Oryzias latipes: one gene and its partners. The protein of the gene in region 1 interacts with the protein of each later gene in a pairwise test. Links are inferred from orthologs where the notes say so. Each region holds a gene or a part of one and is shown in the gene's direction. Other genes may lie near its edges. The genes, in order: trip6, prkaa2, sik3, nedd9, bysl, neu4 and nck2.

The links.
Region 2: the proteins of trip6 (region 1) and prkaa2 interact in binary tests that used the Homo sapiens proteins (3 or more experiments, as listed by UniProt). The link is inferred for Oryzias latipes from reciprocal best matches to the Homo sapiens genes TRIP6 and PRKAA2.
Region 3: the proteins of trip6 (region 1) and sik3 interact in binary tests that used the Homo sapiens proteins (3 or more experiments, as listed by UniProt). The two-hybrid records come from large-scale screens. The link is inferred for Oryzias latipes from reciprocal best matches to the Homo sapiens genes TRIP6 and SIK3.
Region 4: the proteins of trip6 (region 1) and nedd9 interact in binary tests that used the Homo sapiens proteins (3 or more experiments, as listed by UniProt). The link is inferred for Oryzias latipes from reciprocal best matches to the Homo sapiens genes TRIP6 and NEDD9.
Region 5: the proteins of trip6 (region 1) and bysl interact in binary tests that used the Homo sapiens proteins (3 or more experiments, as listed by UniProt). The two-hybrid records come from large-scale screens. The link is inferred for Oryzias latipes from reciprocal best matches to the Homo sapiens genes TRIP6 and BYSL.
Region 6: the proteins of trip6 (region 1) and neu4 interact in binary tests that used the Homo sapiens proteins (3 or more experiments, as listed by UniProt). The two-hybrid records come from large-scale screens. The link is inferred for Oryzias latipes from reciprocal best matches to the Homo sapiens genes TRIP6 and NEU4.
Region 7: the proteins of trip6 (region 1) and nck2 interact in binary tests that used the Homo sapiens proteins (3 or more experiments, as listed by UniProt). The two-hybrid records come from large-scale screens. The link is inferred for Oryzias latipes from reciprocal best matches to the Homo sapiens genes TRIP6 and NCK2.

Annotation. Positions count from the first base shown.
Region 1 is NC_019876.2:14,759,854-14,763,980, reverse strand, and holds the start of trip6 (thyroid receptor-interacting protein 6), read left to right. Parts: upstream 1-1,327; 5' UTR 1,328-1,417; exon of another isoform or gene 1,418-1,498; intron 1,499-1,887; 5' UTR 1,888-1,928; intron 1,929-4,127. UniProt on the Homo sapiens protein: Relays signals from the cell surface to the nucleus to weaken adherens junction and promote actin cytoskeleton reorganization and cell invasiveness. Involved in lysophosphatidic acid-induced cell adhesion and migration.
Region 2 is NC_019862.2:3,538,888-3,542,387, forward strand, and holds part of prkaa2 (5'-AMP-activated protein kinase catalytic subunit alpha-2), read left to right. Parts: intron 1-95; coding exon 96-434; intron 435-513; coding exon 514-640; intron 641-3,500. UniProt on the Homo sapiens protein: Catalytic subunit of AMP-activated protein kinase (AMPK), an energy sensor protein kinase that plays a key role in regulating cellular energy metabolism.
Region 3 is NC_019871.2:32,767,511-32,771,010, forward strand, and holds part of sik3 (serine/threonine-protein kinase SIK3), read left to right. Parts: intron 1-1,217; coding exon 1,218-1,379; intron 1,380-1,450; coding exon 1,451-1,575; intron 1,576-1,655; coding exon 1,656-1,779; intron 1,780-2,565; coding exon 2,566-2,684; intron 2,685-2,958; coding exon 2,959-3,069; intron 3,070-3,174; coding exon 3,175-3,309; intron 3,310-3,500. UniProt on the Homo sapiens protein: Positive regulator of mTOR signaling that functions by triggering the degradation of DEPTOR, an mTOR inhibitor. Involved in the dynamic regulation of mTOR signaling in chondrocyte differentiation during skeletogenesis.
Region 4 is NC_019869.2:19,387,596-19,390,687, reverse strand, and holds the end of nedd9 (enhancer of filamentation 1), read left to right. Parts: intron 1-344; coding exon 345-1,472; intron 1,473-1,546; coding exon 1,547-1,636; intron 1,637-1,771; coding exon 1,772-2,281; 3' UTR 2,282-2,592; downstream 2,593-3,092. UniProt on the Homo sapiens protein: Scaffolding protein which plays a central coordinating role for tyrosine-kinase-based signaling related to cell adhesion. As a focal adhesion protein, plays a role in embryonic fibroblast migration.
Region 5 is NC_019863.2:2,276,684-2,280,619, reverse strand, and holds the start of bysl (bystin), read left to right. Parts: upstream 1-1,136; 5' UTR 1,137-1,245; coding exon 1,246-1,510; intron 1,511-2,138; coding exon 2,139-2,295; intron 2,296-2,392; coding exon 2,393-2,531; intron 2,532-3,936. Other genes in the region: med20 (mediator of RNA polymerase II transcription subunit 20), read right to left, coding at 1-60, 608-753, 926-939. UniProt on the Homo sapiens protein: Required for processing of 20S pre-rRNA precursor and biogenesis of 40S ribosomal subunits. May be required for trophinin-dependent regulation of cell adhesion during implantation of human embryos.
Region 6 is NC_019871.2:13,922,781-13,926,855, forward strand, and holds neu4 (sialidase-4), read left to right. Parts: upstream 1-1,275; coding exon 1,276-1,476; intron 1,477-2,074; coding exon 2,075-2,330; intron 2,331-2,815; coding exon 2,816-3,762; downstream 3,763-4,075. UniProt on the Homo sapiens protein: Exo-alpha-sialidase that catalyzes the hydrolytic cleavage of the terminal sialic acid (N-acetylneuraminic acid, Neu5Ac) of a glycan moiety in the catabolism of glycolipids, glycoproteins and oligosacharides.
Region 7 is NC_019879.2:10,283,170-10,287,425, forward strand, and holds the start of nck2 (cytoplasmic protein NCK2), read left to right. Parts: upstream 1-1,456; 5' UTR 1,457-1,727; intron 1,728-4,256. UniProt on the Homo sapiens protein: Adapter protein which associates with tyrosine-phosphorylated growth factor receptors or their cellular substrates. Maintains low levels of EIF2S1 phosphorylation by promoting its dephosphorylation by PP1.

The DNA of each region.
Region 1 (4,127 bases):
CTGTCATAAAATCAATAATCTGCAGCCCATAGCACTTCCTAAACAATTTGTGTATGATTTCTTGGTTGCAATTGGCTAAATTATGTTTTCATATTCACTATGAAGAAGCACTACCAGACAAGACATGCTATCTATGACAAGCTAACTGGGAATGAACAGTGTTAAAAATGGACAAATTGACTGTGATTTTGGTAAAAGTTTGTTTAGATGTATTTGTTCTAAAAAAAGAAATGAAAAAGATGCCATTGCAATAAAAAGGTTCCTGAAGTAGTTCTTTCAAAAATTGTATTAAAATAGTGTCAGGTGGAATGTTGTCCTTAAAAACGAAAATGTTTTTTTCTTTGCCTAAATACAGAATAAAATAATAATTTGTACTCAATTCATTGTAATTGTACTTATTTAAATCTGAAAAGAAAACAGAATTACAGTTGGTCAATTTCTGGTGGTTTTTTTTTTTGATTAATTAAATATGTTTCACTGTTTTATGTTTTACTAATTAATAGTGTTTTACTGGCGGCTGGGTAGCTCGGTTGGTAAGGTGAGAGGCTACCACGCAGGAATCCATGGTTCGGAGGGTAATGAATAATGGTAATAATGGAATTATTACATTATTACAATGGAATAATAACCATATCAATGGCAAGCAATTAACATCCCCAGTGAGGGCCCTTCGGCAAGTCCCTTAACGCCACTGAGCGCCGTTCGGCTGTAGCTCACCACTCCCCCAGGGGATGGGATGAAGAGAAGAATTTCCCCATTGTGGGATAAATAAAGTATCAATTATTATTATTAATTATTATTGTGTTACTACATACCGGTAATTTTTTTTTTTTACTCTAGAGTACTTAGGTTATTGTTTTGGTGGTATTGAAAAAGATTAAGGGCAGGAAGAAAAAAATGTGGTAAGAACATTTACATTTATTGAATTAAGAATTAATTTAAGAACTCTGAAATAAAACTCAGAATGTATTTTTTTCTCAGAATTCTTTTTCCATCATTTACAATTCTCAGTAATCTCAGTAAACATTCTGATTTCATTCTCAGGAAAAAAAAGTCAGAAATGGAGTTTATTCTCATGGTTCCATGATGTCAACTTTAATCTCACAACTCTGTTTTCTCTTTCTTTAGATTCTGGTTTATTTATTTTTTTTAAAAAAAATTATTTTTGAATTCTGAGTTTACGTCAGAATTCGAAGGGAAAACGACTGAATTATATGGAGAAAAGCTATTTTCGCCGGGTTTTTTTCCCTATTCTCGTTCCTTATCCTTTTCCGTAGAATTGCCACTTTGCCTTCAGTTCAATTATTTTGAAAGCAGGCACGCGCCATTGCGGGCACGCGCATGCAGTAACGTGACGTCACACGTTGGGAATGTAGCGAGGAGCTGCTAAACTAAAGGCCTGTGGATCCGCGACAAAGTGGGTTTTATGCGCTTCCGCAGAAATAAACTTTTTGGAGATGCTTTTCACACACCTCGGAACGCCTAAACTCAGCTGCAGGTCGTCTGTTTTTACGACGTTTCGGTTTATAGGCGACATTTTTTGCGTTGTTCCCTGTTGGGTCGGGCTGGAAAGTTAGCCAGGAGCCTACCTAGCGAAATGTCGAGTTCATAACGGTTCTTTTTTTTTCTTTTTCTAAGCAAAGCTAGTCGTTTTTCTATCGAAGATAGGCAGTTAATTTTTGCTCTTATTGTTTTTTAATTTGTTTTTACTTTTTATTTTTTGCGTGTTTGTTATGGTAGTGTGTGACGCACTGACACTGACAGATTTAGACAGCTGCAGATTTCTTAGCAGCACCTAAAAACATCGCTGTAAAATTTGTTTTATTTTTAAAGTAGTTCGTGTATTGCTTCCATGTCGTTTTACTAATTTATTTGATGTTTTCGTAGATGAGACCGAAGAAAAGAAGACAATAGCTTCACCGTAACAGGTAAGAAATCTCGAATATTTTTTATTTTTTATAAATATGTGTGTTTACCCCCCCCCTTTTTTTTATTTAATGTAATATATTTACGGCGGTTACATATTTTAATGCTTTATTTTTAATGCGACTGACTCAAAAACCCACAAATCAAAATTGTGTCTGACCACTTTTCAGTGCTTTCAAAATAAAAGCCTCCATTTCTACTTCTACCGAACATATTCCAGATAGTTTTTTTTCCTTAAGAATATCTTAGAACATTATGAATAGGTTTTTCTATTCTTTTATTAGTTCTAACGTGCCAACGTTTAGGCTATTTTAGGTGTTTGGTTTTTCTTTTATTTGAATTACCGGAAGTTCATTTTTATTTATAAAGCCCCATATTACAACACGGTTGTCTCAACGGATTTTACTAGTTGTACAAATCAGTTATAAAAATACATCAGTAGATTTCTTGTTGTTGCCTGTGTTCTCCTTTCATTCATTTTTGAGAGTTTCTGTGCCTCTTTAAATAAAATAATGAATGAGTCCGACCTCATCAGATGATTTGTTATGCAAGTCTCAGAGACAGAACAACTGGCTTTAATCCGCAGACTGATGAAACTCCTGGGATTAATTTTCCAGCCTGGGATTTGAGTGTGTGTTCATACAGAGTCAGACAGACTTAAATCAGGTTCTTCAAGGCTGGTTGTTATCTGGCACATGTGCAAGGATGGAGCAGACGGTCAATATGGCTGTGGTGTGACCATCAGAATACTAAAAGAAATAAAAATAATCATCATAATAACGATAAACAAAAGGCTGAACGATTTTCTGTGGAGCATTGTGTTAAAGTGTGGCTTCATCATCCCCTCATCTGTCATTATAATCCTCTTAGCTGCAAAGATGGACCCACAGCCTATTTACAATCACTCTGAGAGCTTTATTTATTTTTCCACATCAACAATACTTTGGCTTGATGTGAGGGTCCTGATTGCAGCGGTACCAACATTACAAAATAAGTGACGGCATGTTTTGAGAGCATATTGGGCAACCCGCATGAAGTAAGATAAAGATTTATTAAGAAATATATTCAATTTGAAGGATTTGTGTTCAGGTCATCTTGAAAGTAGATGTAATACTTGCTTAGTACCTGTAATAGTAAAAAAAAAGACTTTTTAAAGGTTAAAGAGGCTATATTATGCTCTTTTTAATGTCCTACAATGTGATTTACTTTCGCACCAGCATTAGTTTTCAGGTTAGTTATTAGACAAACTTTTTAAAATAAACTTTATTAACAAATATTGCACATACAGAATATCAAATATTGACACTCCACACTGTGTGCAAATGACAAAATGTTCACATTTGCCAGTAAAATAAACCAAAAAAAAATGTCAAAAAGCCATAATAATAACCAGATAAAACAGGTAAAAAAACATAAATAATAAAGGTAAAGGATTCTGCTAAAGTCTTAAATGTGACCATGTTTCAACTGTGTTAACAGCTTTTTTGTTAGTGCAGGATTCAATACAATTTACATACAGAATTATTTCTTTTTGAAAAATATAATATACTGTTTTTTTTGTGAGCATATTTAAACTTGTGAATTAAATATTTAGCCAAAATTATAAGTAAGTATAAGACAGACATTTTGAATGTAACCCAATTCCTTTGTCCTTTAGTTTCTTCCTCTGTCTGTTCCAAGCTGTTTGGCCCTTTTCCACTGTTAAACTGGGTCTTTTCTGATTGGTTACCTCCTTTGTGTCACATGGTTGCGTACTAATGTGACCCATTTACACGCATATCGGTGCTTTATTTAGAAAGAAACCGTAAAACTGTTTATTTGCTTACAAAAATTGGATACATAGAAGTGAAGTGATCCTCAGAAAATCCTGTTCTACATATTTTAGTCCAAAACTTTATTTATTTCAGTGAACACATGTAAATAATGACATCATTTTTGCCAATTTTATGTTGCTTTGATACATTTTTCCAGTTTTTTTCTGTTGTTATAATAAACAGCTCATAAGAAAGCTAATATTTGTGTAAAATAGAGAATCTGATGCTTCTGTCTGTTCTACTCAACGAGGAGGAAACAGGAGTCCATCTTTGGTCCAACATCCTAATTAAACGACTTTAGTTTCCAGTGTTTTTTTAAACGCGGACACAGATGTAAAACTATGAATTTGGTCAAACATGCAGCGAAACATCTGCTTTTTGGAAGAA
Region 2 (3,500 bases), on another chromosome or scaffold:
AGTATTTTATGCTTGCAGTTGCACGCTGTAGGATGTCACATCTGAAGAAATGTCTTATCTTGTCTTCATTGTTCCTCCTCCTCCTGTTCACACAGGATCAGTTAGCGGTGGCGTATCACCTCATCATAGATAATCGACGCATCATGACGCAGGCCAGCGAGTTCTACTTGGCATCCAGTCCTCCACAGGGCTCTTTTATAGAGGAGGGTATGCCATTGCCCCCTGGGGTCAAACCCCACCCAGAGAGGATGCCTCCACTTATGGCTGACAGCCCCAAGTCTCGATGTCCTCTGGATGCTCTCAACACCACCCGGCCTAAACCGCTAGCAGTGAAGAAAGCCAAGTGGCACCTGGGGATCAGGAGTCAGAGCAGACCCCATGACATCATGACGGAGGTGTACCGGGCTATGAGGCAACTCGCTTTTGACTGGAAGGTAACGACATAAGCTCTACACACAGAGGTTTGTGCAGTAAACATGTGGCTCTGCAAATATGCCTGTTCTTGTGTGTCAGGTGGTGAACCCATACCATCTGCGTGTGCGGAGGAAGAACCCAGTGACGGGAAACCTGGTGAAAATGAGCCTGCAGCTCTACCAAGTGGATAACAGATCCTACCTCCTTGACTTCAAAAGCATTGATGGTTGGTGACAGATCAAACGTAGTTCAGTTCCCTTTAAATGTGCAAAGCTGCAACACTTACAGTCTTTCTGTGACTCAGTCCTGTAACCAGCATGTTTGTGAGTATGTAGTTTACAGTTTACCACAAGATGGCAGAATTTGGTGCTTTTGAGAGACCAGTCTGGGTAAATGCAGAGTTTTTTTCAGGAAGAGCATCCAAATCAAATCATACCAACAGAACTTTCGGTGTTGGATTGTTGAGGGCCGGGTTAACAACGACTGCCAGCAATGCTGTGTGCTGGTGAAAACTGGACTACTGTTAGTGGAAGAAGGACAGGAGGAAGGCGGGTTTGTAGGCAGAGAGAAAAGGAAAGAAAGGAGTGAAGATCTCAGAACCTTCACAGGAAAACGAGAGTCGAGGGAGGAGCGCACAAGTTGATCACATTTTGGACAGATGTAATCTGAACAAGACCAGAGTCTGCAAAGTGGTGGCAGTGGGGGGTGTAGCCAGACTGTTGAGGATGGTGGTGGGAGGATGAGTCTGGCGGTGAGGAAGACGAAGAGGACATGAGCAGAGCAGATGACCAAGTGGTGGAAGATGAAATAGGAAGAATGCATGTGAGATGAGACGAGAGATGGAAGGGTTTGCAGCAGGTGAGGAGGATGACGGACAGAGAAGGAAATGTGGTGACAGGTTCTACTAGTGTGATGGAAAGATGGGAGGAGAACGTCGATGAGCTGATGAATGAAGAAAATGTTAGAGAGCAGAGGAAAAGAGGAGGAAGTACCAAGGATCAGTAAGGAGGATGTGAAGAAGACATTGAAGAGGATGAAGAGTGGAAATACAGTTGGTCCTCACAACACACCTGTGGAGGTATGGACGTGCTCAGGAGAGGTTGTCTGAGGAATGAAGCAGAAATCTTCTGATGGATGGAAGGACCAGAAGAAAGAAGGGAGATGCGCAGAGTTGTGAAAACTACAGAGGAGTAAAGATGATGAGTCACAATAAAGTTATAGGAAGAGAAGGGGAAGCTAGACTGAGGTCAGAAGTGAACATTTGTGAGCAGCAGTTTGGTTTCATCGCAAGGAGAACAACCCAAATGCAATATTTGCTTTGAGGATTTGAGGAACAACAGAGAAGGTCAGAAGGAACTGCATCTTGTCTTTTTTGAGCGGGGCTTAAAAGTATTTAGTCAGCTACCAATTGTGCAAGTTCTCCCACTTAAAAAGATTACAGAGGCCTGTCATTTTTTAAGGACAAAATGAGAAGAAAATAATCCAGAAAATCACATTGTCTGATTTTATAAAGAATGTATTTTTAAATTATGGTGGAAAATAAGTATTGGGTCAATTAGAAAAGTACATCTCAATACTTTGTTACATACCTTTGTTGGGAATGACAGCATTCAAACGTTTACTGTAAGTCTTCACAAGGTTTTCACAAACCTTTGCTGGTATTCTGGTCCATTCCTCCATGCAGATCTCCTCTAGAGCAGTGATGTTCTGGGGCTGTCACTGGGCAACACAGACTTTCAACTCCCTCCAAAGATTTTCTATGGGGTTGAGATCTAGAGACTGACTAGAACTCTCCAGGACCTTGAAATGCTTCTTACAAACCCTGTCCTTCATTATCTGGTCAGCGTATTTGGGATCGTTGTCACACTGAAAGACCCAGCCACGTTTCCTTTTTAATGCTCTTGTTGATGGAAGGAGGTTTTTTTACTCAGAATCTGATGATACATGGCCCCATTCATTCTTTCCTTTACAGTGATCAGTCGTCCTGGTCCCTTTGCTGAGAAACAGCCCCAAAGCATGATGTTTCCACCCCCATGCTTTACAGTGGGTATGGGGTTCTTTGGATGCAACTCAGCATCCTTTCTCCAGTAAAATCAGTCTGCGGTTCCCAATGGTTACATTTTAAAGTTAAAAGCAACTTAAAAAATATTAAGGGTTTTTCAAAACAAAATGCAATCTATTTAAGCTGATGTTGCTTCATTTACAGAACATTCTCAACTCTCAACATCTAATGTTCTGATGCACTAACAGCAAGTCCTTCTTTTTTAAATATTAAGCTCCTAGAGTTCTTACTAACAGTTCTATTTGGGTTTCATCTGACCATAGGACATTCTCTCAATCCTCTCCTGGATCCTCCAAATGCTCTCTAACAAACGTTAGACGGTTCTGCACATGTACTGGCTTTAGCAGGGGGACACGTCTGGCCCTGCAGGGTTTGAGTCCCTGGTGGTGTAGTGTGTTACTGATGATAGTCTTTGTAACATTGGTCCCAGCTCTCTGCAGGTCATTCACTAGGTCCCCCCTGTGGTTCTGGGATTTTTACTCACTGTTCTTGTGATCACTTTGACCCCACGGGGTGAGATCTTGGGGGGAGCCCCAGATGGAGGGAGACCATCAGTGGTCTTGTCTGTCTTCCATTTCCTAATAATTGCTCTCACAGGTGATTTCTTCACACCTGTTGCAGATTCAGTCTCCCAGCCTGGTGCAGCTCAACAGTTTGGTTTCTGGTGTCCTTAGACAGCTCTTTGGTTTGGAGTGGAGTTTGGAGTGTGACTGTTTGAGGTTGTGGACAGGTGTCTTTATATAGATAACCAGTTCAAACAGGTGTCATTAATACAGGTAATGAGTGGAGGACAGAGGATCCTCCCACAGAAGAAGTTACAGATCTGTCAGAACCAGAGGTCTTGCTTTGTTGGTGACCAAATACTTATTTTTCAAGCATAATTTACAAATAAGTTCTTTAAAAATCAGACAATGTGATTTTCCGGATTTCTTTTTTCTCATTTTGTCTCTCATAGTTGAGGTTTACCTATGATGAAAATTACTCTCTCATCTATTTACGTGGGAGACCTTTCACAATTGGGGGC
Region 3 (3,500 bases), on another chromosome or scaffold:
TATAAACGGATTTAATATTTCTTTCTTTTATAAATGACCATGGTATGTAAGGGTTAATGGCCTTCAAAGTGTGCATTATCAGAAAGTAACACTTCACGTTGGACGGATCAGGCTTCTGCGGCATGCTTTAATTTCTGATAATGCACACTTTGTGACCATTAACCCTTTCATGTTTGATCAATTTTAGACAAAAAGACCAACATTATCTTCAGGATTACAAGATAAATTGTAACTACACAAACGTGACCACGTTAAAGTTTTATCCATTTTTTTCTTTTGTCTAAATTAAAAAAAGTAACTTTAACAAAAACGTGTCATTTATTTTTGGGAGATTAAATTGTTTCCGTTCAGTTTAAATGTGTCTGTTGGAAACTCCACCTTAATGCTGCTTCTTTGTTTTTGTTACTTTTATTTAAACCTAATATCTACTTTATTAAAGTGACTGAAGTCTGGAATAGAATTTGTCCTTCAAACATCAGAAAGCAGTTGTTTCTTTTATAAAGATGACTTGGACCAAACTCTGGAATCTCTGACTTTAATTCTGTTCTTCTTGAAGGAGAAATAAACGGTTTTCTGATTTCATCGAGAAGATTTGCAGACTGTTAGCACAGACGTTTGCGTTTGTTGTGCTTCATGACGGTTAACAGCAATGCCGTTACATTAGCCCAATGCATCATGGGAGTTGTAGTGAAAGCCAGTGGTGCTCTGAGCTCCATTATTTTATCCACTTTTTAAATGCTCTGTCACCGGATCCTGCGTGAAGCTGCTACAGCTGCACAGATGATCCGTGATCCGTTCAGATCACCAGTTCTGCACAGACGTGTGCAGCAGATTGCACCGCCCCCCCCAAGCCCGTGTCCTCTGCTTCTGCTTTAACACGTGTCCAAAAATGTGCTCATAAACCTGAAAATGCTGCTGCGTAAGGGAGGAGTTACTGTCTACTATTTTTCGCCCTCTTAATAAAAGACACTGAAGATGCTGAGAAATCTGGCACTTTTATTTTGAAGAGCTCCACAAAGGGGTCAGTGTGAAACCTGAGCCTCGTTTTCATGAACTACGAGCTGATATTCTGGAGATGGTAAATGTTTTTAGATCAGAGAAAATGAGTAATTTCCTGGGGCTCACCTGAACATCTCTCACTGTGCACTGGTGTGCCGTGGCTCACTGGTTAAAAAACACTGGTCTAGACTTTCTGAGTTCTTCTGTTGTTTCCACAGACCACCTAGTAGCTCATGGGCGCATGGCAGAAAAGGACGCCAGGAAGAAGTTCAAGCAAATTGTGGCCGCCGTCCACTTCTGCCACTGCCGCAATATTGTCCACAGGGACTTAAAAGCGGAGAACCTGTTACTGGACCACAACCTCAACATCAAAATTGCAGGTGTGTTTTTTGTGTTTGTGATTTGACAGTTTTCTCTAAAAAAGAAGTGATCCCATTTGTTCTTTTGACAGATTTTGGTTTCAGCAACATCTTTTCTCGAGGCCAGTTGTTAAAGACCTGGTGTGGCAGCCCTCCTTATGCTGCTCCAGAGCTTTTTGAAGGGAAGGAGTACGATGGTCCTAAAGTTGATATATGGGTAAGTAACGGACTGAAAGCCTCCTGACTAATCAGTAATTCCGTTTTGAACTCTGAGGGCATTCTTCTCTCCCGGTGTAGAGTTTGGGGGTGGTGTTATACGTGCTGGTGTGTGGCGCCTTACCCTTCGATGGCAGCACTCTACAAAACTTGCGGGCGCGTGTTCTCAGTGGAAAGTTCCGCATCCCTTTCTTCATGTCCACAGGTAGGAGCTTGTGTGTTTGTTTGTGTCCTCCGCCCACTTTGAGGCTGAACAAAGACAAAAAACAACTCACTATGACCAATTATATATCAACGATAGCATTTCCTAATTTTGTGTTTAACATAAAAAAAGGCTAAAGAATCTTATGATTCATCCAATATTAAAACTTGGATACATAGACTTGTTGCTTGTCAAAACGTCTTGAAAGACGGTTTAAACTCTTGCATCATGTAAATAAATGGCCCCTCGATATGTGCATATGATTGTTTTTTTCCCAATTTTACTTTCTTCCCTTCATAAAAGTAGTACACTTGAAGTTTATTTTATTAGGTATACTTGAGTAAAAGTAATGCAAATATACTAAAGACCGTTTCTGTGTAGTGTAGGAAGTATACTAACTGGATACCGCTTCAGACTAAATTGGAACATTTCAAGTTTGCAATAAATAGATCATATATCAAAAGTAAACTTCAGGTATACTGCTTCCCTTTGTAGCATAGATCAGGGCTGACCAACCCAGGTCCTCACAGAGCCTCAATCCTGCTTGTTTTCCAGCTCTCTCTGAACTGCTTGATGCCGACTCCCTAAATCATGCGTGTTCAGTCAGTAGGGATGTGGAATCACTGGAGTTGGCTAATTGGGAGAAAGCTGGGCAGGGAGAACTGGAAGACAGGCAGGGCTGAGGCTCTTGAGAACCAGGGTTGGCCATCCTTGGTATAGACTAGGTATGCTTAGAGTACATATAAATAAACTACTTTTTGCTAAGAAATGTTATCATTCTCCTTGCAGACTGTGAGTACCTAATAAGACACATGCTAGTTCTGGAGCCCAGCAGACGTTTGAGTATGGAACAGATTTGTAAGAACAAGTGGATGAGACAAGGAGATCCAGACCCAGACTTTGATCGGGTAAAACAAACCTTCACGATTTTTCAGGAAGTTCCCGCTTGCTGACTGTTTCCGTCTCTTTGAACTCTTTTTAGTTTATGTCCATCAGTGAATATACTTTGATTTACAACTTAAAAATAGAAGTACCGATGCCAATAGTTACATGAATGTTGAATTTGGTTAAACATTTGGGGCAAAAACAAACATGGGCTGTCCTAGACATGTGCCTCATGGGAAAGCCACTTTGGACTAAAACCTGCCCTGTATTCTGCCCTTGCCTGTCTTCCCTTTTTAGCTTATAGCTGAGTGTGAGCAGGTGAAGACCGAGCGAGAGGTGGAGCTCATCAATGAGCAGGTGCTGATGGCCATGTCCGAAATGGGCCTGGACAGGGAGCGCACACTTCAGGTCAGCTCAGTGTGCACCGGGCAGGCGTTTCTGCCGTCTGTCATCAGCACAGCCTTTTTTATCAAACATTATAATCGCTGCTATTTTATTTTTTCCTTTCTCCAGTCTCTACAAACAGATGCATATGATCACTACAGTGCCATTTACAGTCTGCTGGCTGAACGCCTCAAGAAACACAAGACCCTTCGTGTCGCCCCGCCCACACCACGACCTATTAGCTATCTTCCAAATGCTGTACAGGTGAGGATTTTTTCTGGGGGGGTTTTCTTTTTTCAAGACCATTGTGTTTCAACATCAGAAAAAGCAGCAAACTTTTGATTCTGGAATGCAAAGTTCAGCAATGACGACGGTTTTTGGACAGCAATTAATTGGAAATTAGAACAACAAAGAACAAGTTGTTCTAATTCTACAATTTTTAGGTTGTCTATGAA
Region 4 (3,092 bases), on another chromosome or scaffold:
GACGTAGAGGGCCCAGATCAGGTCCAGAACTGTAATCCTCTGAGGGGTGCGCCCCCAAAGGGACGTCACAGTCCCCAAACATGAGGAAACAAAGGTGGAAAATTCAGGATTTTTAAAAGATCCTCACATTAAAAAAAAAACTCACTTCACTGTCCACTTCCCTGTTGAAGGGGCCAGTCTGCCTCAGGTGGGAGGGGGAGGATAAAAAGGAATAAAATGTTTTTTTAGGCAAACTACTTAAAGGTTTGTTCCCATGAAACCAGAGCGTGCTGCACCCCCCTCCCCAGCACTATTTTAGGGTTGTATTTGCTGCAGAGCACTAACAGGAGTCCTCCCCCCCACAGGTGTACTCCGTCCGCCCCTGCAGGACCAACGCTGGCCTCCAGGAGGGCAACTATGACTTCCCACAGTCCCTGAAGCACAAACAAGAAGGCATCTATGACGTTCCACCCCCCACCCTCACCAAGGCCACTCAAAGCCCCCAGTCTCATTATGATTTCCCCCTCAGCTATGAGCCCCCGCCCCATCACCTGAACTCCAATGGCAATGAAGGAATTTACGACGTGCCCCCGTCTGCCCTTCAGTCTGGGGCGGGGGCTCAGCAGGACATTTATGACTTCCCCCGGAATATGCAGCCCTCCCAGCTGAGAGACTCCGCTTCTGACGGAAACGGCATCTACGACGTCCCGGCACAGGAAGTGCGCGCGGTGACGGACGTGACGGACGGCGTGAACCGGCTGTCGTTCTCGAGCACTGGCAGCTCGCGCAGCAGCATGTCCACCTCCTCATCCTCCACGGGCTCAGCCCCTGAAGGCCGCCTGGCGCTGGACGCAGACGCCGCCGTGCAGCGGCTGTACCGCCTGCAGCAAGGGGTGGAGCTTTCTGTAGGGGCGTTGCAATCAATGGCAGCCTCCCCGCACTGGAGGACGTTTCCCCTTATGGAGCAACACACCAATGACCTCCGCACTGTGCTGGATCGGGTCCGGGCCGCTATAAGGGACTTCATTGTGTTTGGTAGGGGCGCTGCGGTGAACGCCGCCTCCCTATCTGACTCCAGCCTCCACTGTAAGCTGCGGCGGCAGCTGGGGCGCTTGGAGGACTCCCAGCAGATCCTGCAGCAGATCAACCAAACCCTGGAGGCCAGCGGTTGGAGTCTGAACGCGCTGACGGCGTCCGGAAAACACCTGAACAAGAGCGACGACGTGGAGCGCTTCGTCATGGTGTCCCGCAGCGTTCCTGACGACGCCAAGCAGCTCGCTGCCTCCATCAGCAGCAACATGGAGCTGCTTTTCCGGCGGGCTACGCCCGAGGACAACCCCACACATCAGGTGACCTCCCCCTCTGCAGACAACGACAACTACAGGGGCCGGACCAAGCCCTTCCCCGTTTCCCCCCAGGACAAAGACAACCTGAACAACAGTGAGAAGTGCGTAAAGAGCTGGATGGAAGACTACGACTACGTCCACCTGCAGGTACAAATGGCTGCTTAGTGTCTTCTGCTGGAATATGAGATCTTTCTGCTTCATTTAACTCTGTTTGCCTGCAGGGGAAAGAAGACTTTGAGCGTCAGCAAAAGGAGCTTCTGGAGAAGGAGAACATCATCAAGCAGAGTCAAGTCCAGCTGGGTCAGGAGCAGGTGAGGAAGATGAAGAGGTTCTCCTCTCACGCAGCTTCATGAATGTCCATGCAGAGATGAAGCTCAGTCTCCCTGAACTTGGGCTGAACAGACATAAAAGCCGACCATCTGACTTAAATTTTTGCTTCTCCACAGATCAATCAGTTCAAGAAGCTGGAGCAGGAGGTCATCAAGCCGGTAGAGAACGATGTGCCTCAGTGGATATCTGCCTCTCCCTCTGACTCCTCCTCCGCCCTCGTCTGTACTCGGGACCGCCAGCTGCTCGCCTTCTACGCCGAGCAGTGCAAGCAGCACTTTGTCACGCTCCTCAGCGCCGTCGACGCCTTCTTCGGCTGCGTCGGCGCCGGCCAGCCCCCTCGCATCTTTGTAGCTCACAGCAAGTTTGTCATCCTCAGCGCCCATAAGCTGGTCTTCATCGGGGACACCCTGTCCCGACAAGCCTCGTCCCCCGAGGTGGCCAACAGGGTGATGAACGCCAGTAATGTGCTGTGTGACCTGCTGAAAACGGTGGTGGGAGCAACCAAAACGGCCGCTCTGAACTACCCCAACACCGCCGCCGTCCAGGACATGGTGGACCGTGTCACCGACCTGTCTCACCACGCACAGCAGTTTAAGGAGCAGCTGCTGCACATGGCCAAGCCCTAACCATCCATCATCTCATTTCCTGTACAGCTGTCTGCTGGGTTATATATATTTGCTTTTTTCCTGTACATAGTCTCTTCTGTAAAAACCCGCTCTATTTTTGTGTAGATGGTTTTATACTCTGAACTTGTGTTGCTGCAGGATGCGCCGGACATTTTTTTTCATGACATTCCTGTATTTGTAAAGCACCTTATGAGCTGTGGTCCATTGTGGAGCGAGGCTGGTGTGTCATAGTGTGACGTGTGACCGTAAATTTGCCTGTAACTCGTGTCTGTGTTTGTGGCGCTTGCCAAAAAGTAAAAGACTGAAACGTGTTCATCTTTTCAGTGTTGTTCTTCTCCCGTATCTCGCTCAAATACTTTATTCTAACAATGTTGGACTTAAATCATTCCTGTTTGAATACTTAAGGTTGAATGATTAAGTCAGACCATACAAAACAAAAGAGTTACATCATGTCAGGACCTGCAGGTCTAAGAAAAGCGACATTATTTGAAGTTTGACAAAAGATCGGCCTGAATAGTTGGAGGTTGAAACTCAGCTCAGGCTGAAAAAAACCCGCTTGGAGCTTCTCTGTGAATGCAGCGCTGGATGGAGTTGGCCTTCAGATGGAGGCAGAGCAGATGTCCTCTGCAGCGTGAGAAAAGCCCCTTACCCAAAAAAGCGTGTCATCTGCTGCAGGTTTTCTGTTCTTTGGGGTGCAGTGAAGCCGTCATGTGAGCATAAATCCTGCAGCCTGAGAAGACCGGAGAGCTTCCCTGAAGTCTTTAAAGCGTTCAACATGATTCATCACTGCACGAAAAACGACAAATTACTG
Region 5 (3,936 bases), on another chromosome or scaffold:
CCATGCAGCTCAGAGGGGTTTCAGAGTTATGCATCACGTATAAGAGCTTGGAGGGCTGACCTGTGACAGACGGGAAACACTGGATGATGCATTCAACTCAATAATACATAAACTCCACATCCATGATTCAAATAAAGGCACATCTGTTATTGATGTAAAAAAGGTTTTTAAAGTCTAAAACCTTAAACAATATTTGGTTTTATAGTAAGGCTTTGAGATGGTTTCTACCATAAAAGGCCAGAGCCATTAAAGTGCAGCTGAAGGGGTGATCTGTCGTCACACTCCAGTAGAACTAATAGGACCCTTATCTAATTTGTAAAATATTCTCAAGATAATTTGACAAACACACATAAGATAAAGTGGCTATGTATGCTTAATTGTGTCCCATATTTACTGCAGATGTGTCTGAAGGAAGAATTAGCAAAAGCCCTGAATGTTCTTGTTAAAAATGCTACCAATTAAATGCAAGGGCACAAACGGAGCTCATATGCCAATCACCTTTTTTTAATTGCTTTTTAAAGGTCTAAGCAACCACAACTAATTACCACATGAATAAATAACTACTAATATGTTTCCCGCGTGATGCTTGAAAAAGTAGCGAGCTTACCGACAACGTTTCCCGTGGCGTGGTATGTCTCACAATCCACGCAGAAGCTGCCTTGTTTCACAGAACCGAGCTGCTCCAGCTTTTTTTGCAGGACGTCCACGGTCTGCTGCACACTCTTGCCCTCCGCTATGGGCACCTGACAAACACTGAAAGACAAAACACCCGACTGAGCAGCGACAACCCAACGCATCCATGAAGGGGAGGAGCACGCTTTCCCCAAAAGAACAAACATTTGAAATAGACAGGTCCTATAAACATAGCGAAACCAAACTATGTTGAAATAATAATTACACTTTAATGAGCCAAAATATTCCTTACCAAGTTACTCCCATTTTTGTTTTGCCTCCTTCGCAACTACTTCCGGTTAAACAAATTGACTTCCGGTAAAGGAAAAAATAAAATAAAAATACAAGTGAACATAGACGAATTGAGTTAAACTGATTAACTCAGTTAATAAACATAGGTTCTTTCATATATAATGTTTCGAAACATTTTTAATGAAACCGGATGTGACGTAATGTATTTCCGCTGCCTCTGTCGCGCATGCCGTTTGTCCGCACGTGCTAAACAGCTGGGTGTTTACACACTAAAAAGGCATAGACAGGCTTTAGCTTGTAAATTTTTTTGGAGCTGTAGCGATGCCGAAAGTGAAGAAATCTAAAGGTGGAGGAGAAAAGAGCTCTGGATCCGTGGCGCTGGCTGACCAGATCCTGCAGACGGACACGGTCCGAGCCCGCAACCGGGTTAAGAGCAGAGACCAGCGGCCAGAAAGCGACGACACCTACGTAGACGAGCGGCTGTCGCGGAAAATCCTACAGCAAGCCCGAATTCAGCAAGAGGAGCTTCAGACCGAATATGGGCTGGTACCGGAGAAGAAGAAGGCGACACCGGTCACTGTTCTTGGTAATGTTGGATCAGAACCAGGACATCCGCTTCAGTTTAGAAAATGATCAAACAGAAGCCGTTGATTAAGGTTTCTAAAGGTTCTCTCTTGTTCTAGTTTTTCTTACCGAAGAAAACGATGACCAACTTTAGTAAAGTTGCATCACAGATTCATCACAATTCAGACCCATCTACCCTTAACAAAGACAAGTACACTTGAAGTTTACTTAAGGATACTTGAGTAATAAGTGTGTAGTAGTGTACAAGTATAGACCATGTACGTGTAGTGTAGGACATATAGTAACTGAATACTTTTTCAGACTTTTATTGGAAAATTTTAAATGTATATAAAAAGAAAATTCTAGTTTACTGCTTTACTTTTAGTATAGACAGTATACTTGTAGTTTACTTAAATAGACTACTTTTTGCTAAGGGATGCACTAATGCTATGACTTAAAAATAAAGTTAACTGTTCACTAATGATGGTTTTAGTAAACACTCCAAATTAAAATACTTTCAGTAAATAAATACTTAAAAATAGAAGTAATAATGTTTTCATTTACTCGTTTCTGTAGTTAGTTGGGTGATTCCATACATCTAGATCTGCATCTTTTCATTATGTGAGTTCTAAACACTCCTGTAACTGTAGGTCCTGAATCTGGGGATGCAGACTCGGATGAAGAGTGGCCCGCACTGGGAGAAGCAGTTTCTGGGGCGGCAGAAACCGAATGTGATGCTGAAATTATTGTAGACCCAGAAGACGAAAAGGCCATTGAGATGTTCATGAATAAAAACCCACCAATGAGGCAAGAAACATGGCAGTTCTGACTAACCAACAACAACAAACAGAAACCACCAGGCCAGTTTCTTCTGTCCCTACTAACATGTTTCTCTTTCTCGTAGGAGGACCCTGGCAGACATAATCATGGAGAAAATCACTGAGAAGCAGACCGAAGTGGGGACGGTGATGTCGGAGGTGTCAGGGCGCCCCATGCCTCAGCTGGACCCCAGAATTACAGAGGTTTATAGAGGTGTGGGAAAGGTGAGCTTTCTTATATTATTGAAGACATAAGCCGCGGTTACATGCGCAAAATATCTGGATCGGATTAAAATCCAACCGTGTACATGGGATCAGAAAACCTTTTTCCGATTAGAACAAACGTTCACATGGGTCACACTTTCGGTTGGAATAAATCATTTGAGCATGAGCAGTAGTGTTGAAAATACCGAAAGAGGAAATGGGTCCCACAGTAAACAAACCGAGCTGCCACATACATTCATGCAGCAGCTCGGTAATATACAAGACGATCTTCTAAACGTGCTTTTATCAATGTTATGAATATTATGAAGCGCCTGTTCGCTCATCATTTTAATTTTAATCCGTGTGGTCAGTGCTTTTTTTTGTGGAAGAACCCTGGAGAGGCTAACACACGCGCTAACAACATTAGCCTTTTTTGATGAACACAAACACTCCCCTCAAACACAAAGTTATGAATCCGGCTGCTCTGCTCAGAGACACAGTTCGCTCCGTCCACCGGCACCCGAGCCCGGACCACGCAGGGTCCAGACGTCACGGGGCACGAAGCGCTCCCCCTCGCAGCCCCCTCGTGAGGGGTGTAAGAGAGGGGAGAGGTGAAGAGCCAGCAGGGCGAGAGCAGAGCGGCGGTTCTCACCGGTCCTCCGCAGAGCAGCCGGTTGGTCCTGTTTGCGCTCCAAAGCTTTCTCTGGAGCGATACACCGTCTATGCGTGACGTTAAACCAGAGCAGTAGTGACACGATCGGAATGAACTGTTTACATGTAACACGATTGGATCAACAATCGGCATAACCCACCTATCTCGATCGGAAAGACATTTTGATCCAAACGAGTCTGATCAGGGCAGAGTATTCTGAACGGTGTGTTTACATGACACATTTTCCTTCCGATTCAGGTGTTCTTTCCAATTACTTTTGCCCATGTAAACACAGCTACTATAACACGGTGTTGTACAGTCTGATGGCTGTGGGGAGGAATGACCTGCGGTAGCGCTCCTTCTTACACTGAGGGTGCAACAGTCTGATGCTGAAGGAGCTGGTCAGCGCTTCTACAGTTTGGTGCAGGGGGTGGGAGGGGTTATCCATGATGGATGTTAGCTTAGCTTAACAAACACAGCCCACAATGGCACTGTCCTCTGAGAACTTCTGCAGGTGACAGTGGTGGGAGTTGTAGGTGAAGTCCGATGTGTACAGGGTGAACAGGTGTGGGGAGAGCACAGTCCCTTGAGGTGCCCCCGTGCTGCAGACCACCACATCAGACACACAGCCTCACAAACTGTGGTCTGTTTGTGAGGTAGTTGATGGTCCAAGCAACCAGATGTTGGTCCACACCTGCAACCTCCAGCTTCCTCCTCAGCAGTGATGGCTGGATGGTGTTGAAAGCACTGGAGAAATCAAAAAAACATGACTCT
Region 6 (4,075 bases), on another chromosome or scaffold:
ATGTGATCTATTTTTTATATTTATTGTTTGCATGTGAGTCTAAAGAAGATTTTTGACACTTTGTTTGAAAGCTTTTTTCTGTTTTTACTTAATTTTTAATGCACTATGTTTTTGTGTTCTATGCATAAATACCGTAAATGTTCTACATTTCAGTCACGATATGGAACAGTACTGGTGCTAATATGAGAACGTACATATACAGACTAACTGTTGAACAGTTTCAATAGACCTTTGATACATTTTGAAGGGAAGTTTAGCAGTGAAGAGCTTTGAACCGAAAGAAGCACCTATTTATTTCCCAGGCGCTGTGCAATGAGAAGACAAAGGGAAGCAGAGAGAGAATACATAGAGGGCAGATCATAACTTCTTTGTTCAGATTGACCCCTCCCACTCTGCCATCTTTTCCACAATGACCACTGTCCGCTGATTCATCCAAAGCTGTAGATCTGATGAGTGTTCATTTCTGGGTCAGTGAGCAGCATGCCGTGCTGCTGCGGTGAACAGAGAGAACAGACCATGGCTTTCAGATCCTCTGTGGAATACACAAACTCACTGCACTGTCATCCCCAAAACCCAACACTCTCTGTACCAACACAAAGTAGCTGCAGCTCTTTCTGAACTTTGGAAAGGTAAGGACTCATATCTACTTCCCCATTGTGCCCTGGACATTAATTTAAAAAATTGTGAGAAAATGTGCAGATAAATGTCATTTTTACTCTTAAGAGAAGAGATTGTCTCACAATTTAAAACTCAGCCAGTTAAGTCTTTGTTGCTACAATCAAGATACATTTAGTCTTATAAAGTATGTACTTTAAAGGTTAAGCTACGTTTAATTACACAAATGCCCGTGCTACCATTTCATTTTTAATTCATTCCTTTAATGGGATCTAAAGTAAACTTGACAGCTTAGACAGTAAGAAACAAAACCTTTTCTGTCACCTGACTTTTCTTCAGGATTGTTTCATCAAGTTTACCTTTGAAATCATGAAATAAATTCTTATTTTTGGGGTTTGTTCACAGTTGATACATTTTCTAATAATGTATGTTTGTTCGTGTGTGGAATATATTCATGTTTATCATTCCACATAAAAGCCAATCAAAAATTGAGAAAAGCAATAATTTCTACTGAGGCAATTATTGTTTTTCCTAATTCTGTATTTTGCACCACCCCATGTACATGCTATATTTTTCAATGAAAGCTGGTTCTGATTTTTACGTTTTTGCAGAAAATCTCCGGGTTTGCTTTGAGGAAGTGTCACACAGTCCTGCTGGAGCATGAGGTCGCCTTATTTCCCAGCGAGATCAGTGCTTTTCCGAAAAGAGTCCAATGGAGTGACGTATAGAGTCCCAGCTCTGATCTACGTGCCCCGCAACAGAACATTCCTGGCCTTCTGTGAGGAGAGACTCAGCCCGTCTGACTCCCAGGCTCACCTGCTTGTTGTGAGGAAAGGCACTTTCTACAGAAACTATGTGGAGGTCTGTGATAGGATGGAGTGCGGTGATTTTTAACGGTCAGAAACACAAAGTTTTGCTTTAAATTCTGCTTGTGTTGACATTGCACTGCTCCAAATATAATTTTTGTCAGCACTCTGATAAGTTAAAGGATAAAACACACACAGTGCAAAAGCCAGAACAAACCTTTCTCTTTTTTATTTAGATTTATGTCCATATTGTGTTTAAAACAACAAAAAGCATCAGTTTGGAGAACACAGTGATGTCCAAAAATACATTAAAAAACAAATTATAAGAGGCAACAATTGTTTTTGCAGGATGATGGTGTATTTACAGATTATAGAGTAAGATTTGATATCTAAAATAAGACAATAATTACACAAGTGTAAACACCAATCTTCTTATGCAAGACAAAAATGAAGAACCTAGGAAAGAGTCAGACAACTGGCATTCACTGAAGACTCCAGAAGATTCAACTAGGAAATTTTAGTAATATAACACAGTTATATAAAAGTAATATTTGCAACACAATTTGTCTATTATCATATTTAGTTTTTTATCAGTTCATTTCTTTTACGTATACTTTTTTCTGCCCTTGTCTCTTAACTGATTTTTGTGGCAGTGGGGCAACATCAGTGTTCTGGGCACTGCCTACCTTCCAGGCCACAGGTCCATGAACCCGTGTCCAGTGTTCGATGACTTCACGGGAACGCTCTTCCTCTTCTTCATCGCTGTTCTCGGCCACACGTCAGAGTCCTACCAGCTGGTGACGGGGAAGAACGTGACCCGGCTCTGCTACATCTCCAGCACCGATGGGGGGGACACCTGGAGTCCAGTCACCGACTTGACCAAGACAGTCATAGGAGACACCATTAAAGGTCTAAACATGTCCACTTTGAACAGATTTTTAATCTGGATAGTCTTTTTGAGATGAAGAAAAAAACAGCACAAATGAAGCCTAAGATGTTTATTTCTCCTCTGGACTTCAAATGAAAACGAAGTCAGACAAAAAAAAAAAAAAACTTCTGAAAGCCCCAAAAACTTGATACACCTCATGATACATGATACACCTCTGTGTGTATCAGAGTGGCCAAGATACTCAGTCATTAATTTATCTCCAAAAGATATTTGCATTTCTGATCTCTTTTTGCATAGAAACCACCTTTATATTGTTAAAGCACAGAAAAACAACAATCTTTAGTTAAAAACCACACTTTGTAGAGCTCCTATGGGAAAAGAGGAAATCTTTATCAAATTGCCAACAATTAAATAGGAATTAGGGAAAAATGCTAGCTGTGTTCTGAAAATGATACATGCTATAACTGTTTTTTCATAGTCCCATTCCTCTCCTTCTTCCCAGCAGATTGGGCCACGTTTGCTCTGGGCCCGGGTCACGGCCTACAGCTGAAGTCGGGCCGTCTGCTAATTCCTGCCTATGCCTATCACATCGAGTGCAAAGAGTGTTTGGGGCGCCTCTGTCAGACCACTCCTCGCTCCTTCTGCTTCCACAGTGACACGCACGGCAGGAGCTGGCGCTTTGGAGAAGCCATTCCAGCTCCAGAGAGCGTGGAGTGCCAGATGGTGTCTGTGGATGAAGAAGACGGCTCCAACGTGTTGTACTGCAACGCACGAAGCCCTCTGGGATACAGGGTACAAGCCCTCAGTCTGGATGACGGAGCTGTGTTCCAGTCAGGGCAGCTGGTGCCCCGACTGGTGGAGCCTCGAAATGGTTGTCATGGTAGCATTGTTGGATTTCCTGCCCCGTTACATTTATCCAAAAGTCTGAAGAATTGCTCAAAGCGTCTTGTCTCCAGACACTGGACATCCCACACTAGCAACATGCACCTACACCATCCTAATCCAGATTTCCTAAATCCTACCTGGGTGGTGTATTCCCATCCAACACTGACCACCGCCCGCCAGGATCTGGGTCTGTTCCTTAGCCTGTTTCCACGTGATCCAGACAGCTGGCGTGGCCCCTGGGTGATCTATGAGGGTCCCAGCGCGTACTCTGATCTGGCCTACCTGGAGCTGTCAGCCTCACCTGGAGCTGTGCCCGCCGTGGCCTTCGCCTGCCTCTTTGAGTGCGGCACCAAAACCCCCTACGATGAAATCTGCTTCAGCATTTTCACCCTCTATGAGCTCATCGACAATCTGCCCGTGGATGTACAGCCCAGGGAGGATGACTGCAGACAGACCAGCGGGAGCTGTAAACAGCAAACCCAAAGGACACCTGCTGTGCAGCCGAGGCCGCACGTGAAGAAGAGGAGGAAGAAGAGCAAGCTGCTCGAGATGTGTTCTTCTTCCTAAGCACAGTTTGAAATGTATGACATCCAGACGAAGTATCTTTTGATTAATAGCATTTTAAAAACAATGTATTCTCTCCTCAGGTGCATCTGGGTATGTGATTTTTTTCCAGCAAATTAAATATTAGATTGTAACTTTCATAAGCTTTTTTTAGTATACGCCCATTTTAATGCTGCTTTTTCTTAAGAACATTTGTAGTTGGGGTTTTTAATGCTCATATTTTTCAATTATCTAAAGTTTCTTGGTGCTTTCTTGGTTGCCACTAGTCAGTGAATTTTTAGCAACTTTAAGCTTCTGAGACATTATGCTTTTTATC
Region 7 (4,256 bases), on another chromosome or scaffold:
TGAAGAATGTATGAGGAAGGTTGCCTCTATAGCTTCATTTTAATTTTTTAAAGTATGTCTTTTAAACAAATTAAGATTTTTATTTCCTTTACAGTAGCAAGGAAATGCGATCTACATGAATAACAATGGACATGTGGCTTAATCGTCTCCTATTTCTCGCTATTATCGCCAAGGGGCGACATATTCCTCCACAATCTGTCCATTTCCCTCTGGCGTTGTCCTGTTCTCGTCCCGGGGTTAGTGACGTCACAACCAGGACCGGGGATCAAGCTGAACGTGAATATCAGAATCAAACCGGAAATTGAGGCGGAGTCCTAACAAATAAAAGCAGGCTCGATTTAACAAAAAGATTCTGAAAGTTAGCATGAAAAAAGGAAAATAACCAAACTAAGGTACGAGTAAACTATAAACAACATCAGTTCACCAACAGACATACATGTAATTTTACATGTAATTTATATGTAATTTTACATGTATTACATTTAGGCCTGCAGCCTTGCTTCAATGACCATTAGGTAAATACACTTCTGACCGTTAGCAGTTGGTAAATAAAAGATTTTTTTTTTACGTTTTGAATTGCATACTCATTTACCCACATCACAAAGGATAAAGTGTAACCATAGAGCAAAACAAAACAAAATACGATTTTAAATGGATAGGGATTGACCAAAAAAGTAACTTGTTGATCTTTCTATTTTATTTAATTCTTATGAAAATTTTTCTGGATTAAATATTTGTTGTTTGATGCCATCATATGGACTTCAAAAGAAAAGAAAATAGTAAACTACATGGAACTGCTGTTAGCGAAACTGCTGAAACATCTGCAAAATGATAAAAAACACCTACACTTCAAACACATATACCGTTAAACTGTGAAGAACCTCTTTTTAGATGTTCCTCACCCAGACAGATATTGGCAAATGAAAACACATTAATTTAAAAAAAGAATAGAAAGAATAAATGTTTCTGCTAATATTCCACATTCATTTGGTTTCAAAGTTTTCTCTTCCTAAACATTCGTATCATCTTTTCTTTACATTTTTGTATGCTGTTGCTAAGATTTTCATTTTTGACATTTAAAATAGGTCAAATAGACGACAAAACACCTGAAGAAGTACAAGTTGAATATGTCTAAAAATGTACTATTTCAAAAAAGAAAAAAGTTAATTATATATTAAATAAAGATAGTAGTGGTGAATAGACAATAAAGCAATAATAGTACAGTGTACATTTTTGTTTATCACAGGCATAAAAATGTGGAAAAATGCACACGTTTGTTATCATGAACAATATTTAACCATATTTAATTAAACTGTGTTTTCTGACTGCATTTAATATTTTTCAAATTTCTAATATGTAATTTTAATTTACTTGTTTTTGCAAAAATTGTACTTTTTAATTGAATTTGCCCTGTTCAAACCTAGCTTTATTTTGAAAAATCGGAACGGAAGTGAAGAAGTGTGTATCTCCTAGCTTGAAAGGAGGCTGATCGAGGCGGAGGCAGTCAGCCTGCGACGGAAAAACAAGCGACAACACGTCGAACAGTACAGGTTTAGTCAGTGTTTGAAGAAAGAAAATGAGATAAACCAGAGGAGATGAGGACTTAAACGAATTTTTTTGTCACTTTGACGAGGGTTTGGTCACTTATTATTGTTGGACCCGCGCGCGCTATCCCTGTGCTGTGACGCTTGTCTGCCCATTCTGACTGGAGTGAACACTAAGGTAAGGTAAGCCTGAAATACACAACTGTGTGAGTTGCTTCTGCTTACATTACTCTTTCCAGCTGCGCGTGCCGTAGATTGAAAGGGGTTTTATTGGTCTACAGAATTATGTGTGGAGGTTTTCCTCCGTAGTGGGAGTGGGAGGCTCGGAGTGTCACTTTCTCGCGTTGAGACGCTTGGTCTTTGTCCACTCTGACCACAGACTTGGCTCGAATCTCGCTCCAGTGTTCGCGAACCACTTTTTAAACCCCCACAATTGTATAAATTTGTTTAAATTCCCACACTTAAAATCATCAATTAAAATGTTCACTAACAACATTTGTACTTTTTCGGTTAGTAAATATTAGAGGGGCCTGACTCACAGACCATGGTCGGTGGTGGTGGATTCCAGGCTGTGGTCCGGCTTTGTTTAAAATAGTTTCTTTTAACTTCAGTTCTACAATTTCGTACTTTTTTGCGTGGAAAACAATTTCTGCCATCATAGGTGTTTGGTTGGTGTGGTTCGAGATCCTGCTGACAGCGCTACGGCTCACACAATGAAGCACACTTGCCAAAGAAGCAGCAGAAATCGGCCGGGCGCCTGGTGCCACATGCCGAGCTTGTCAGTGCTCCTAGCGGCCGTTGGTGGGAACTGCACCATGCTGTCGCCTCATCAGCCCCTGTGGATCAAAGGACGCCTTGTCTGTTCTCTCACTGACTTGATGCTGGATATTTTTGTACATTTTATTTTAGATTTAGAATTTGGGTTTTCAGATTTAAATCCAGGTGTTTAAAGGTGCTGAAAGTTCTTGCGTGGTTCAGGTAGACTTGTCACACCTACTGCAGACACACCCTGTGCAAAGCGCTCTCCCGGTCTACAGTCCGCACTGACAGGTATGAGGAAGGAGGCTGCAGGTCCTGTACTGCAGAAACTCCCGTTGCATCATTTCCTTGGAATTCGATACTTGGAGCAGAAATGTTGTTTTAGAGATGAATTTCCACCCCCCTCTATGTTTCTGACACCATTCTCCCTGTCAGCTATTAATAACTCACTCTGATGAAAACTGTGGAGTTTTTTTAATATGTTCTTGTTTTTTTTTTTCATGAGGGAGGACATACATGAAGAAAATTTAGATATAAAACTGCATTTATGAGTATTTCTTTATTCAGATCGTTGTGAATCAGGAGCCGATGAAAAATTACTGTCGGAAAAAGCTTGTTGCTTTGACGTAGGCGTTTACAACGGCAAGCCACAAACTCCCTGCTCTGCTCCATTCTGATGCCTCCACTAGTACACGACTGTGCATCTTCGTTGACCTCGTCTGAGGTGGAATCTGGCTCAGAACTGTACGGCTGGATAGCTGCAATATTGCCCGCCCTTTTTGTGAAACCCCTAACGTTAGGTTGGGATGTGTGAGGGGCTCTAAGCTAGCGGGAGTTAGTGTAAACAGATAGATGACGAGATGTGGGGGTGGGCTTTCTCTGTGTGCCCACACCTCAGAGGCAAATTTCTGATGAACTCCTGCCACTCTGCATAACTATGTCCTAGAAAACGACACAGATTTTTTGATTTTGGCTAAAAAGAGCATCATCACGCTTTTACAGTAGATCAAAAGATGATCAGAGTTTGACTTTAAGCTATGTTCTCATCGCCCTCGGCAACATGTTTTTCAAGCAGACACCTTCGATGAGAAGTCTATGTAAACACTGTTTTATGGGCTTTTTTGCTCAAAACTCTTGTGTTCATGCCTGGCTACGCAAGTTTTTATGACAATGAACACGCGTTGGAAGTTAAACCAGGTCGAACTTTGACCAATCAAGGACTTGGATTTTGGAGTGACATATATATGGTTTCCTTTGTAATTCACGAAAGTGCCAACGGTTTGAAAGTTGATCATGAAGGAGGAATTAATGATTGTGGTTTGTGCCCGGCTGGAATTCTGGCATCAAGTCTTTAATATATTGGAATATAGCTGTCAAAGAAAAGACAAAAAAATAAAACCTGGAGCAAGATTTACCAGATTTGACTTTTTGCACCAAACCTTTTCTAGTACATGGTAGAAAAAGAAAAAAAAAGGGTACTTTAACATGCATTAAATGCATGGTGTGTATTAGAGGTCCAACGGATCACGGATGACCCTTGATGACCCCCCCCCCCCCCATTTAAATCGATTGTCCGTTCAAACCAAAGACAATTTGTGCGTCAAATTCAATTAATTTGAGTTAAAATAACAAAAATGAGTTTTTTACAAATACATCATATTGTCAACAATCACGATTTTGAATATGTGATTTAGAAAAATGTAAACAATAATTACTGTATTCTACTATGGATGTATTGTGAAGCTTCTAGGAGTGTGAATTCTACATTTAGGTTTTAAATATTGTTTTCAGAATTGCCTATTTTTATTCATATATTAAATGGATCCGTTTTTTAGTTTTTAGTCGTTTCTTTTAAAACAAACCCGATCTTTCCTGTCATCTTCTTAACCGTTTATTCCCTTTCGGGGTCACGGGGTTGCCGGAGCCTATCCCGGCCACTTGGGCGTAGGCAGG